Arabidopsis thaliana: one gene and its partners. The protein of the gene in region 3 interacts with the protein of the main gene of each other region in a pairwise test. Each region holds a gene or a part of one and is shown on either strand. Other genes may lie near its edges.

Region 1 (4,328 bases), on a different chromosome or scaffold from region 3:
AAAAAAGTTTAAAAATATATCGCAGACATTTAAATTATGTTACACTCATTATAACAATTATGTATCGCATACATCTAGATTTTTAAATCATTAGTTCAATAACACTGAATTTCATTAGAGTTTTTAAAATCCGTGATTGAATAACATCGGATTTGTAAATTTTACACAAATAACTTAAAATACTAGATTGAATACATCCCTCTTAATGTTTTTATTTTCTTTTCAAGATTTATCCAGTAGATGTTAAGGGAGCAGCGGGAACAATGTGTAACTTGGTCAGCTCTATAAGCGCATGGCTTGTTGCTTATTCCTTCAGTTACTTGCTTCAATGGAGCTCCACAGGTAAAAATCTTTAATACAATTGAACTAAAGTTGACAAAAAGTTGATTTGGTTACAATTTCTGAATTTTGAAAAGAGAGTTGTTAACTAAAAGTCTTTGTTGCAGGAACATTTCTGATGTTTGCCACAGTGGCTGGCCTTGGATTTGTGTTCATAGCCAAGCTTGTTCCAGAGACCAAAGGCAAATCTCTAGAAGAGATTCAATCTCTTTTCACTGATTCTCCTCCTCAAGATTCTACAATTTTCTAAACTTCTCCCACAACTGTATAAGATAGAAGTATGTAAACAAAAAAAGTTTATTGCAATATAGTTTTTACGTGATTCACAAATATTAACAAACACCTTTCACAAGATTCACATGAAACTACCAAAACATTACAAAATAATACAAAGTTTTACTCAGAAGAAAAGCTTTATTGAGAAGAAGCACAAAGACCACCCCTTTTTTTTTGCTGTTCTGTAATTATGAGTTTTGTTTTAACCCACTGATCCTTCAAGCTTGATGCTCATAAGCTGGTTAACTTCAGCTCCAAACTCATCAGGTAACTTGTTGAAAACATCTCTGCAGAAACCAGAGATCATTGCCGCTAATGCTCTCTCGTGATCGATTCCTCTCTGCTGGAAATAGAATAGCTGATCTTCTCCAATCTTAGAGGTACTCGCTTCGTGCTCTACTTTCGCCGATGGATTCTTTACCTGTTATTGTTCCAGACCAACCACAAAACAAAAGTGGAAATCAATCACAAAAGAGCAAAAAACTTTACAGCTTTCTCATAGCTTATAATAAAGATTGGATCATTGGCAATTTACCTGGATGTAAGGATAGGTATTTGCAGCTGCTTTGTCTCCGATAAGCATTGAGTCGCAAGTCGAAGTATTTTTAGCACCCTCAGCTTTGGACTGCACCTGAACAAGACCACGGTAACAATTTCTCGAATGCCCGGCCGAAATTCCCTTTGAAATGATTCTACTTTTGGTATTCTTTCCTTTGTGAATCATCTTAGTCCCTGTATCAGCTTGCTGATAGTTATTAGTCAATGCCACGGAGTAAAACTCGCCAACAGAATCATCGCCTTCTAAAACCACGCTCGGGTACTTCCAAGTTATCGCAGACCCTGTCTCAACCTGAGTCCACGAGATCTTGGAACGATCCCCAGCGCAAAGACCACGCTTTGTGACAAAATTATAAATCCCACCTTTACCTTGTTCATCCCCAGCATACCAATTCTGCACCGTGGAGTACTTAATCTCAGCTCCTTTCCCACAATAGAGCTCAACCACAGCAGCATGAAGCTGATTCGTATCATAAGAAGGAGCAGTACATCCTTCTAAATACTCAACAAAACTCCCTTCCTCAGCAACAATCAAAGTCCTCTCGAACTGACCAGTCTCCATCGCGTTAATCCGGAAATAAGTCGAAATAGGCATCGGACATCTAGTGTTCTTCGGTATATAACAGAAAGACCCATCGCTGAAAACCGCAGAGTTCAAAGCAGCGTAGTAATTATCATCACTAGGCACAACTCTACCTAAATACTTCTTAATCAAATCCGGATACTCCCTAATAGCTTCAGATATCGAACAGAAGATAACACCAGACTTCTCTAAAGTCTTCCTATGAGTAGTAGCAATCGAAACACTATCGATAACCGCATCAACCGCGACATTAGCCAAACGTTTCTGCTCTGTTAAAGGAACACCTAACTTATCGAAATACTCAAGAAGCTGAGGATCAACTTCATCTAAACTATTCAAAGTTGGTTTCTTTTTAGGAGCAGAGTAATAACACATATCCTGGAAATTAATCGAAGGATATCTATTATCTGACCATTTAGGTTCTTCTAGTTTCAGAAACTTAGCATAAGCTTTGAACCTAAACTCAAGCATCCAATCTGGTTCCTCTTTCAATTTCGAAATCAAACGAATCGTCTCTTCAGATAAACCTTTAGGGATTGTGAAGGAATCGATATCTTCAACGAATCCGTACTTCTTATCGTAATCGAGATTTTGGAAATACTGTTGAAGTTTATCAGTTGAGCTAACGGTTGATGTACCTGATGATGATGATTCAGAAGCTCCGATGGGACGAGAATCGATTCCAACATCGGCTCTGAGTTTGAAGATCGGTCTCGTTGGATTTAGGGATTTGGGAGATGGGAATTTTAAGGATTCGGGTTTTGGGTGAAACCCTTTTGGTGATTTTGAGGAATCGGAAGTGGGTTGTGGAGAGAAGCTGGAGATACCGTTTGCGAGAAGAGACGCCATTGTTGTTGGTGTGGCTCTTAGGAGAAGTAAAAGAAGATTGTTTTTTTTTTTTTTTTTGGAGTCGTGTGTTAGAAAAAAAACAACGATTAGGAAAAAAATGAAGAAGAGATGAAATGTTAATATTTATGGAATTTTCTGAGCCGTAGATTGAAGATAGTCTCGTGTCAGCCACGAGACGATTTTTTTGTTGGATTTTCACTTTTCAGCTCAATTATAAACCACATACGTTTTCCACTAACTAATTATAAAAAAAAAATAACGTTGATCTCTTCTTTATTTGTTAAAAATCTCTTTTAGATATTAGATATTTTTTATACTTGGACAAAACAAACAAAGATATTAGATATTTTATAATCCGATTTACGGGTTGGTTTCTTGTTTTTGTTAATGAAAAAAAAAATTAGTTTGATCTTTTATTTCAAAAACTTAATAATATTTTATTTTAAAATTTGTTGGTTCATTCATTTCAGTTTAGTTTGGTACACTGAAATCAGTTTTAATTCTTTTTTTTTCTCATCTGAATTATATTAGAAACTAAAGTAGAATACAAGTTGAAATACATAAGCCAACAGACCAACGGAATATTTTGAGAAACTTAGCTGAAAAAAAGGAAGTAAAACCAAAAACATATATAAGGAAACATTTTAAACCAACGAAATTGAATCAAGAGACAAAATTCAAAAGAAAATAAAAAACTATGGGAAAAATAAGACCTAAACTTCTCCTAAAAAATGTGAACGCCGGAAACACCAATAAGATCGGATAGATTTTACACCGAAGTCAAAACTAATAGTAAATCGACAGAGAGGAAAGCAAGAAGCCGCTGAAACCAGAGACATAAGTACAAACACCATCACACCTCACCCACCAGACCGAGATAGCAAAATGTACTAGGGACAAGGCATAAACCTTGAAGATCTACTAGAGATAATTAAAGCACTAGACACAATCAGTATCGATTCTACTTGGGTTAGCTGATTTTCGAGCCATAAACTATTTCGATTCTCAGCTTTCACCCCCGGACTTTTGGGCCCTTAAATTTCCACCATCAACTTTCATATTCCCAAAATTACATCATCTACTTTCGGATTCATGCTTAAACATACATTTCCAATTGAACCATTCATTTAACCGGGATTAACCACAAATCCGCGTTTACTGTACCGCGATTGCGATTAACCCGACTAATACCCAGACCCGTTAAGAAAACGACGTCGTTTTCATTTCGTTTAACTCATCAAAAAGAGAAAGAAAACGACGTCGTTTTCATTCTTCTTCTTCTGCAAAATCGATTTGGTCGATTAGGGTTCTTCATTCGACAATTTTATAAGAAAATGAGCACCAACAGCTACTACTCATCCGCTTCCAGTTCAGGATTTCGTGTCTGTCCTCCTGGTGTCCCCTCGAAATGTTGGTGTGGAGAAGAGATCATTACATTCACATCGAAAACAAAGGAGAATCCATACCGGAGATTCTACCGTTGTGCGATAGCAATGAAGGTACACATTTCGATTTTGTGATATATTTGATTGATTGAAGGAGTAAATGATTGGAAATTATGTTTTATAGAGAGAAAATGAAGAGCACTTGTTCAAATGGGTTGATGAAGCTCTCTTGGACGAAATTAAGATGGTAAATGAGAAGTGTAAGAGAGTTGTAGAGAATATTAGTGACCTCAGAATGAACGTGATGGCTAATATGGAGCTCCTTAATAAAAACGCTA
Region 2 (4,221 bases), on a different chromosome or scaffold from region 3:
TTTAAAACAAAAAAATTTGAAAAAGGGAAAAACTGAATCTACATGAGAATAACTGTTGCTGGATAAGCTTAAAGGAAGAGAAAACATTTTTAATCATTGTTTGCATATGCCATTGGCTTCACATCCGGGTAAGGATGTATAATCAACAATATCAGAAAATTAGAAGAGTTTTAGAGAGAAGCCAAGAAACTCTTATATGAGTATGGTTCGAAGAATGGAATTGGTGAACCAAGTCGTCGATGATTTGGCTCTTCTCTCCCGATTTCATGTTCGATACACCGGAGATCAAATCGATTCGAATCGCCGGCCGTCGGACAAAACAAAAAAGTGAAAAACGAGAGGAAAAAGGAAAACATGAGTGTTGTGATTTTTTTTGTTTTCCGACGACTCACAGTCGACCACGTCGCCGTCTAAAAACCCATCCAAAAAACCTAATATTGGGATGGATCCTAATTATTTAGTTGGGTTTTCATTTAATTTTGGACTTTTAATTAGCTAGAAACCCATTAGAAACCCATTAAAAACTGCCGATGGACTTGCTCTAAGAAGTCTTCAACGGTTTTCTAAAATCTAGGATCAGAGTAAGCACGTTGCATTTCCATTTTTTTACACTCTCTCTCGTGATAAAAAAAATTACAGAATCACTTGCAATGTGTGGGAAACAAAAAAAAAGAACTTCAAAACAAAAACCGGACTATCGTTCCTCAGCCTCACGGTCGTGAAACGATAGTCGGAAAACCCAGTTAGAGACATTTGACATCGTCTTCTTCCTCGAACCGTTTAGTCTTTCGCTTTTACTCTTTTGGCATCTTCTACTTGAGTTTTCATCATCAACCAACATCTTCAATCTCTTTAAAGCAAGCTTTAATGTCTCATCAATCATGTTCGCGAAACAAACTCTAAACCAACCCGGTTCTTCACAATGGCACGACGAACCAGGAGAGATGTTGAGCTTCACTTCGTAAACAATCTTCTTCCAAAGATCCATTTCCGCTTCGAACGTTTTAGATCTAAGGAGAGGTCTCATGTCGACCCAACAAAAGAGTCCCGCATTACTCTTCAGACATTTGATCCCGATGGCCTCTAGACCCAACACGAGCTTTCTCTGTCTGTTCTTGAGCCGTTTTTGGTTCTCTCTAAGGTAGTTCTTAGTGAACTTCTTGTCAGATAATAATGAGGATAGTAGGTATTGTGTCTGGGAGGAGACAAGGCCGAAACTTGACATTTTTGTAGCGGCAGAGATGACATCTTTGTCATTGGAGTAAATGGCTCCAACTCTAAAACCAGGGAGGCCTAGATCTTTAGATAAGCTACAAACAATGTGGACTCGGTTCAAAACATCGGTGTTTTCGAGTTGATTATTTTTTAGAATCTCCATGACGCTGATGAATTCTGAAGAGTTGAATACTGTGCCCGAATATATCTCGTCACTTACTAAATGTATATTCTTATTCTTGGTGATGAAATCAAATAGAATGTTGAGTTCGGTTTGGGTTGTTGTCGTACCCAAAGGGTTAGATGGGTTGGTGATGAGTATTCCTTTGACGTTTAGGTCAAGCTTCTTGGCTTGCTCGTAGGCTTCTTCGAGTGCAAGTTTCGTTATGCGAAACCCGTTAGTACTTGAGCTTTGGATTGGTACAATCTCAACCCCGGTTCGCCATTTTAGATCCCTATCAAACCTGAAGTACAAAAATAAACATGAGTTTTAGTTAAGTCAAGTTCGTAGGAATGATGGAAATTTTACGTGTAAGCAAACAGTGGACTAACCCTGGATAATATGGCGTGGGAAGCAAGAAAGCGTCACCGGGATCTGCAAGACAAAACATTAGAGTCTCGTTTGCGGAAGTGGCTCCAGCAGTGAGCACAAGGTTGTTTGAATCAAAAGAAACTCGATTTCCTCTATTTTCTGACATGAAATCAGCAAAGGCCTGAAAATCATTCGAGCAAGATCAGCAACCTACAAATAAATTTGATAAATACAATTAATAATCTTACATTTTTGAAGGAAGAGAGGCCATGGTAGTCTTGAAAGAGAGCGAGTTCCCGGAAAACAGACTGGCCATCTCTCTTGAAACAGGCTGCGTCTGTGTTTTGTGCAAGCCATGACTCTAGTAGATCAAAGCATAGCTACAGAAATCCAATAAAATTAAACATACTTTAAATTAGTCTCTCTGTCATGATATACATAAGTATATATATATCACATGCTGTTGAATAATATTTGTTTACCTGATTTTCCGCAAGACCCATCTGGATAATGCCTTGAGGGTTCTTGGTAACGTCGTAAGGATTCTTCTCGTACTCTTCCCAACCAAGGAAATACGAAGAGACTTGGCCATGGCTGTTGCATGTAGCTTTTCTTGACAATTGAACCATTTCTTTTGTTCTTGTTTTTTTTTTTTTAATAAAAGGCTCAACAATAAATTGAAAACTCTAGAACTAGAGAAAGAGTTGTCAGACAGGCTGAGAGAGATCGAGCGCGTTGTTGTTGATAAGCTACGAGAAGTCTAAGAATGAATGCATGTTTATTATATAGTTTCATGCTACGCCAAAATACACAAAGGACGGGGATTCTAATTATTTTCATTATCCGATTTACCAACATGGGTTTTCTTTTGATTGTTTTTTGTTTTAGTGATTTATTTTTATTTTTTTTTGGGCAAAAAGTTTTAGTGATTCTAAAATTTAGATATAAACCGAGTTTATTTTGCCAATAAATAGCATTTTAATTAATCTATTAAATTCAAGTATGAATTACGAGTTTCATTTTCTTAATGTTTTGACATATGAATTAATTAGATCAAATTAGTATAGGAAAAAAGTGGAAGCGATGGAGAAATGAGGACGCTATACCGACAGGAAATCTCCATGTAAAATAGCTGCTTGTATACAAATATTAAATAATGTGACCCACAGAAAAAAAAAGTATACACAGAAAAGAAAAAGCGAAACATGTCAATGTTTCAACTTGGGGACTATTTTGGAGGGTGTATCATGTTGGTCCACGTTTCTCCCCCGATGCTAACCCTCTTTTGTATTCTATGTCGGCTAATTTTTTCAACGTTTTAAAACTTTTTACTGTTATTAAATATAACACAAACATAAATAATATTATTTATTATATGTAATGATCTTACGAAGAAGTAAGTAAGAGATAAAAGAGAGAGTGGAAGTGGACGAGAGAACAATATAACACTTCACTCTTCATTACTCTCTCTCGTACGCTTTACAACATCGGACTCACATATATATAGAAGATTATATGATAGGATAAGATAGAAATAGGATAGACTACACTTAGATTTTGGAAGCAAATCACTTAGAGACAAAGTAATTAAATTGGATAAAGAGATAAGATCAAAGTGATAGATTATCACTTGAATAATTATCCATTTATAACATCTACAAAATTTTCCATACGTTTTATTACTTTTTCTTGTCCCCATATGATGTTTTTGGTAGTTAAACTAGATTATAATTCATATTTAAGTAAATAGCTAGTTTCAAACGGGTAAATATTAAGTTAAAACTCACATCCTCTATGATATCAATGGCTATATAATATGAGGGAAGATTTGAAAAGTAACAGAAATACATATACTACGACAATGCTTACTTTGATATGATCATTTTCAAAGCTTAACAACACCAAGTGAGTGCTCACAGTTAAGACAAACATGTCATTTACGAGGTATGCTTTCCGCTAATTAACATATGTTTTTTGTGGCTTAAATATGAACAATTAATTACTACTATAATCTACAACTCCTTAATGCATTTCCAATATAAATATGGCTGTAAAGATGTTCACACAAACTAAAGAAAAATTTCTAATACACGCCTAAATAATAAAGTGTCGTTGTTACAAAACATTCTTTTATTTATAAACGGTATTCAAAAATAAATTCAGAATTTTTATAAAATAAGTCCAGATATTTTACCTCCCAAACAATAAATTGGCTTTTGGACTTCCAACATATTACTTGTTTATTGATTATAAGAAGGAACAAACTATATATTTCTAATCAAAGCGATATTGGAATCCTAAAACGATAAATATTTCAAAACAAAAATTTATTCAAAAATGATAATATTTATTGTGAAACATATTAATCATTACATAAACATTAAGTTTCATCGACCGAATATTTTTCGGTAGTTAGCCGTCCCGACTTTTCGGATATTTTGTCCGACATCACCGGCTCCAGTAGTGGTGTTGGT
Region 3 (3,262 bases):
CAAGCATACCATGTTCGCTACAAGACCTCTCTCGAGGAAGATGTTGCATACCATACATCTGGAAATATCCGAAAGGTAGTGAAAGATTTATGTATATCATTCTTTAAACCAATTAGTAAGTTTCTGATGATATGTTGTTTTGTTTTGACCACTTGTAAAAATGCAGCTATTGGTTCCTCTTGTGAGCACCTTCAGGTACGATGGAAATGCTGATGAGGTCAACGTGAAGCTGGCTAGATCCGAAGCTAAGACACTTCACAAGAAGATCACTGAGAAGGCTTACACTGATGAAGATCTCATCAGAATCTTGACAACAAGGAGCAAAGCACAGATCAATGCAACACTCAATCACTTCAAGGACAAGTTTGGAAGTTCCATTAACAAGTTTCTCAAAGAAGATTCGAACGATGATTATGTTCAATTACTCAAAACCGCGATCAAATGCTTGACATATCCAGAGAAGTACTTTGAGAAGGTTCTACGTCGAGCCATCAACAGGATGGGAACAGACGAGTGGGCACTTACTAGAGTGGTCACTACAAGAGCAGAGGTCGACCTGGAGCGGATCAAAGAAGAATACTTACGCAGGAACAGTGTTCCTCTTGATCGAGCCATTGCTAATGACACTTCTGGTGACTACAAGGATATGCTTCTCGCCCTTCTTGGACATGACCATGCTTGAAACAACATCATCGTTTCATAGTCTTTTATAAGACAGTTGTTATTTGTTTTTCATTTTCTTTGAACTTTGGTCCTTAGTTTTTACATTTTACTGCAACAACTTATTCTGGTTTCTTTGAATCATCTCTTCTTTAAATTTTATTCTTACAAACTAAATCCCAGCTAACGCACAAGCTACAACAAAAGCTTCATAATCTACGCAGTTACATGTTCTACAATCTTTACACTCACAAAGATCTTCCACTCTCTTAGTGTTCACGATTTTTGAAGCTTGCACTTTTAAAGCTATCTTCAACAAAAGAGGTTTATGCTTATCACAATCTTCCAGAACGTGATCTTTTGTCTCATCCATCACTACAAATCTCTCTATTTCCATCCCATCAGTCTCTATAACCGATTTCCAAAAAATCTTTCCTCTACCCACCAACTCTGATTTCGACCACTTCTTCAAAAACGGCGTCGTTTTCCTTCTCCGTAGTTCGAAAACAACACTTTGTTGCTTCAATTCCTCGACCGCGGTTTCGTTCCCTTGGCACTCCAGACCGAATGATTGGTTCCAGGAAATGACCTCACAGTCTGATCTCGAACGGATCTCTGGAGTGTTTAGTTCAATCTTACTGTTATTCCCTGCATGGAGATAGAACCTAACGAAGAGAGTGGTTGGCGATGACTTGAGCTCTACGTTTCTAGCTTCCACGATTTTCACTTCAAATTTAAGGGAACGAATGTTTTCAACGATACCCATTTGCTTGAAAATTTCGAATCGAACCAAGAATATATTATTTACCAAGGTAATAACAATTAGAGCAAATTTAAGAGCAGTGAGTTCCTTTGTGATGAATATGTGCATGAACAAATTCTCACTAGCTATTTATATAAATCTATGGGGAATGTTCGAGGAAAGTTTACACTAGATTTCCACATTGTACTTATTAAAATATTCTAAATTTCTAATCATGTTTTTAACTTTTTATTTTTTTCTAATCATGTTAGTGAAGGCTTAATATTTTAGAAATTAAAACTCTTGAGCATCTCAAAAGACCAAGGGTCGATTTTAATAATGACTCTTGCCCATAGTTTTGGGAGATAATTAGATAGATACGTAGGATCACCATATAAAGAATTTTTATAATTTGCAAAAAGAAATTAAGGTGTGCCATTTTGAAGACTTGATCATTATTATATTACATTTCGCGTGGACACATCCAATAGCCGAAAGTTGTTTTGGAACAGAGTCAACAGAATCAAATTAAATAAGAACAAATTATTAGTAGATACATTCGATTGCATATATTAAAATGAGTATGGAATTTGACTCAAAAGATATAATTACAAAAAATATTAGCCACGAATCCCATGATCAATTGTAGTCATACAAGATAGACTTTATTACATAAGAAAATCTCCAAAAAAACTCTTATCACACAATTCATTGTTGACAAAAGTTTTGTATACTAATAATATCATCTATTAAATTTTACAAAAACAATTTTAGTTTCAACTGGTTTTAAATTATAGAAAGAACAAATCATTGCTAATAAGCATAGTCATAAACTCATAATCATGCAGAAATTGTGTTTATTTTGATCATCTCAAGGGTAATGGAAATGTCAATTTAGGTTACTTTCGTTACTATTTACTTTTTTATCAAACACTTTCGTTACTATTTAAAAAAATCTAAATCCTAATACTAACTTACAAAACCCAAATCATTATTTTCTATTACAAAATTTAAAAAATACTTGGAATTTGAAAGAAAAAAACGTTTTTACAATACTTACTTGTAGTGGGTTGCTCATAGTTAACCGAGTGAGTGTTTTCTTACATAATATGAAAGGACAGCATTGTTTTAGTTCATATCATCCGTTGGAGTTATCCAAAGGACAGCATTTTTAAACTTAGTGTACCAATTTAGAAAACGTCACTGCAATTTGCAAAAAGACATCAAAACTAAGAAGATCATCTCAAGAGCCTGACGTAAAAAAAAGGTAAATAGTGGCTTGGTACATATCCTCTTTCCTCCAATCAAATTTCACTCTTGTGTCAATATCGACTATGCATATGATCCTCGGTGGACTAAATGCAGATCTTCCATTTTTCAAAACTTTTACTTTACAATATCGCAATCCAATAAGCTAAGACCCACAAAAATTCTCTATCTTTGTACAAATTTTTTATTACTGTATTAGCTAACGTGCGAATATCCATTTAAAATGTTTTTTAATCTACAATCTCGGCCAATCATTGACCCCCAAAAAAAAATATCTCTCTCAATCACAAATCATTTCTTAATATAAGGAAAAAATATTTTTTTACAAATTGGAACTCCTCTTTGTCTCTGAATAAATACACCACAAAATAAAAATAAATAAAATCACTGAAAAAACAAAACAATTGTTCCTTTCTTCTTTACTCCTTCAAAATGGATAAAATTTTACCACAAATCCTACAATCACACAAAACTAAATAAAGAAACGAAAAAAAAAAAAAAAAGTAAAAGAAAACTTACGATATCCATGAAGCAAGTTTCTTGCTTGTAAAAAAGACTCAAACCCATTCAACGTCTTCTCTGTTCTTCAAC

What was found. The genes of interacting proteins can lie anywhere in the genome.
Region 1: the proteins of AT5G10210 (region 3) and ABCI8 interact in a two-hybrid assay, tested with the Arabidopsis thaliana proteins (one large-scale study listed by BioGRID).
Region 2: the proteins of AT5G10210 (region 3) and ACS4 interact in a two-hybrid assay, tested with the Arabidopsis thaliana proteins (one large-scale study listed by BioGRID).

The regions. Positions count from the first base shown.
Region 1 is NC_003075.7:2,427,181-2,431,508, forward strand, and holds ABCI8 (ATP binding cassette protein 1), read right to left. Parts: upstream 2,720-4,328; 5' UTR 2,606-2,719; coding exon 1,151-2,605; intron 1,037-1,150; coding exon 818-1,036; 3' UTR 590-817; downstream 1-589. Other genes in the region: AT4G04760 (Major facilitator superfamily protein), read left to right, coding at 228-342, 447-589; AT4G04775 (zinc ion binding protein), read left to right, coding at 3,940-4,104, 4,175-4,328. UniProt on the Arabidopsis thaliana protein: Involved in light signaling, probably by mediating the transport and correct distribution of protoporphyrin IX, a chlorophyll precursor, in response to far-red light.
Region 2 is NC_003071.7:9,717,097-9,721,317, forward strand, and holds ACS4 (1-aminocyclopropane-1-carboxylate synthase 4), read right to left. Parts: upstream 2,499-4,221; 5' UTR 2,377-2,498; coding exon 2,230-2,376; intron 2,128-2,229; coding exon 1,996-2,127; intron 1,929-1,995; coding exon 1,768-1,928; intron 1,680-1,767; coding exon 695-1,679; 3' UTR 506-694; downstream 1-505. Other genes in the region: AT2G22820 (uncharacterized protein), read right to left, coding at 4,135-4,221. UniProt on the Arabidopsis thaliana protein: 1-aminocyclopropane-1-carboxylate synthase (ACS) enzymes catalyze the conversion of S-adenosyl-L-methionine (SAM) into 1-aminocyclopropane-1-carboxylate (ACC), a direct precursor of ethylene.
Region 3 is NC_003076.8:3,204,400-3,207,661, reverse strand, and holds AT5G10210 (nitric oxide synthase-interacting protein), read right to left. Parts: upstream 1,523-3,262; 5' UTR 1,427-1,522; coding exon 833-1,426; 3' UTR 683-832; downstream 1-682. Other genes in the region: ANN6 (annexin 6), read left to right, coding at 1-75, 167-682.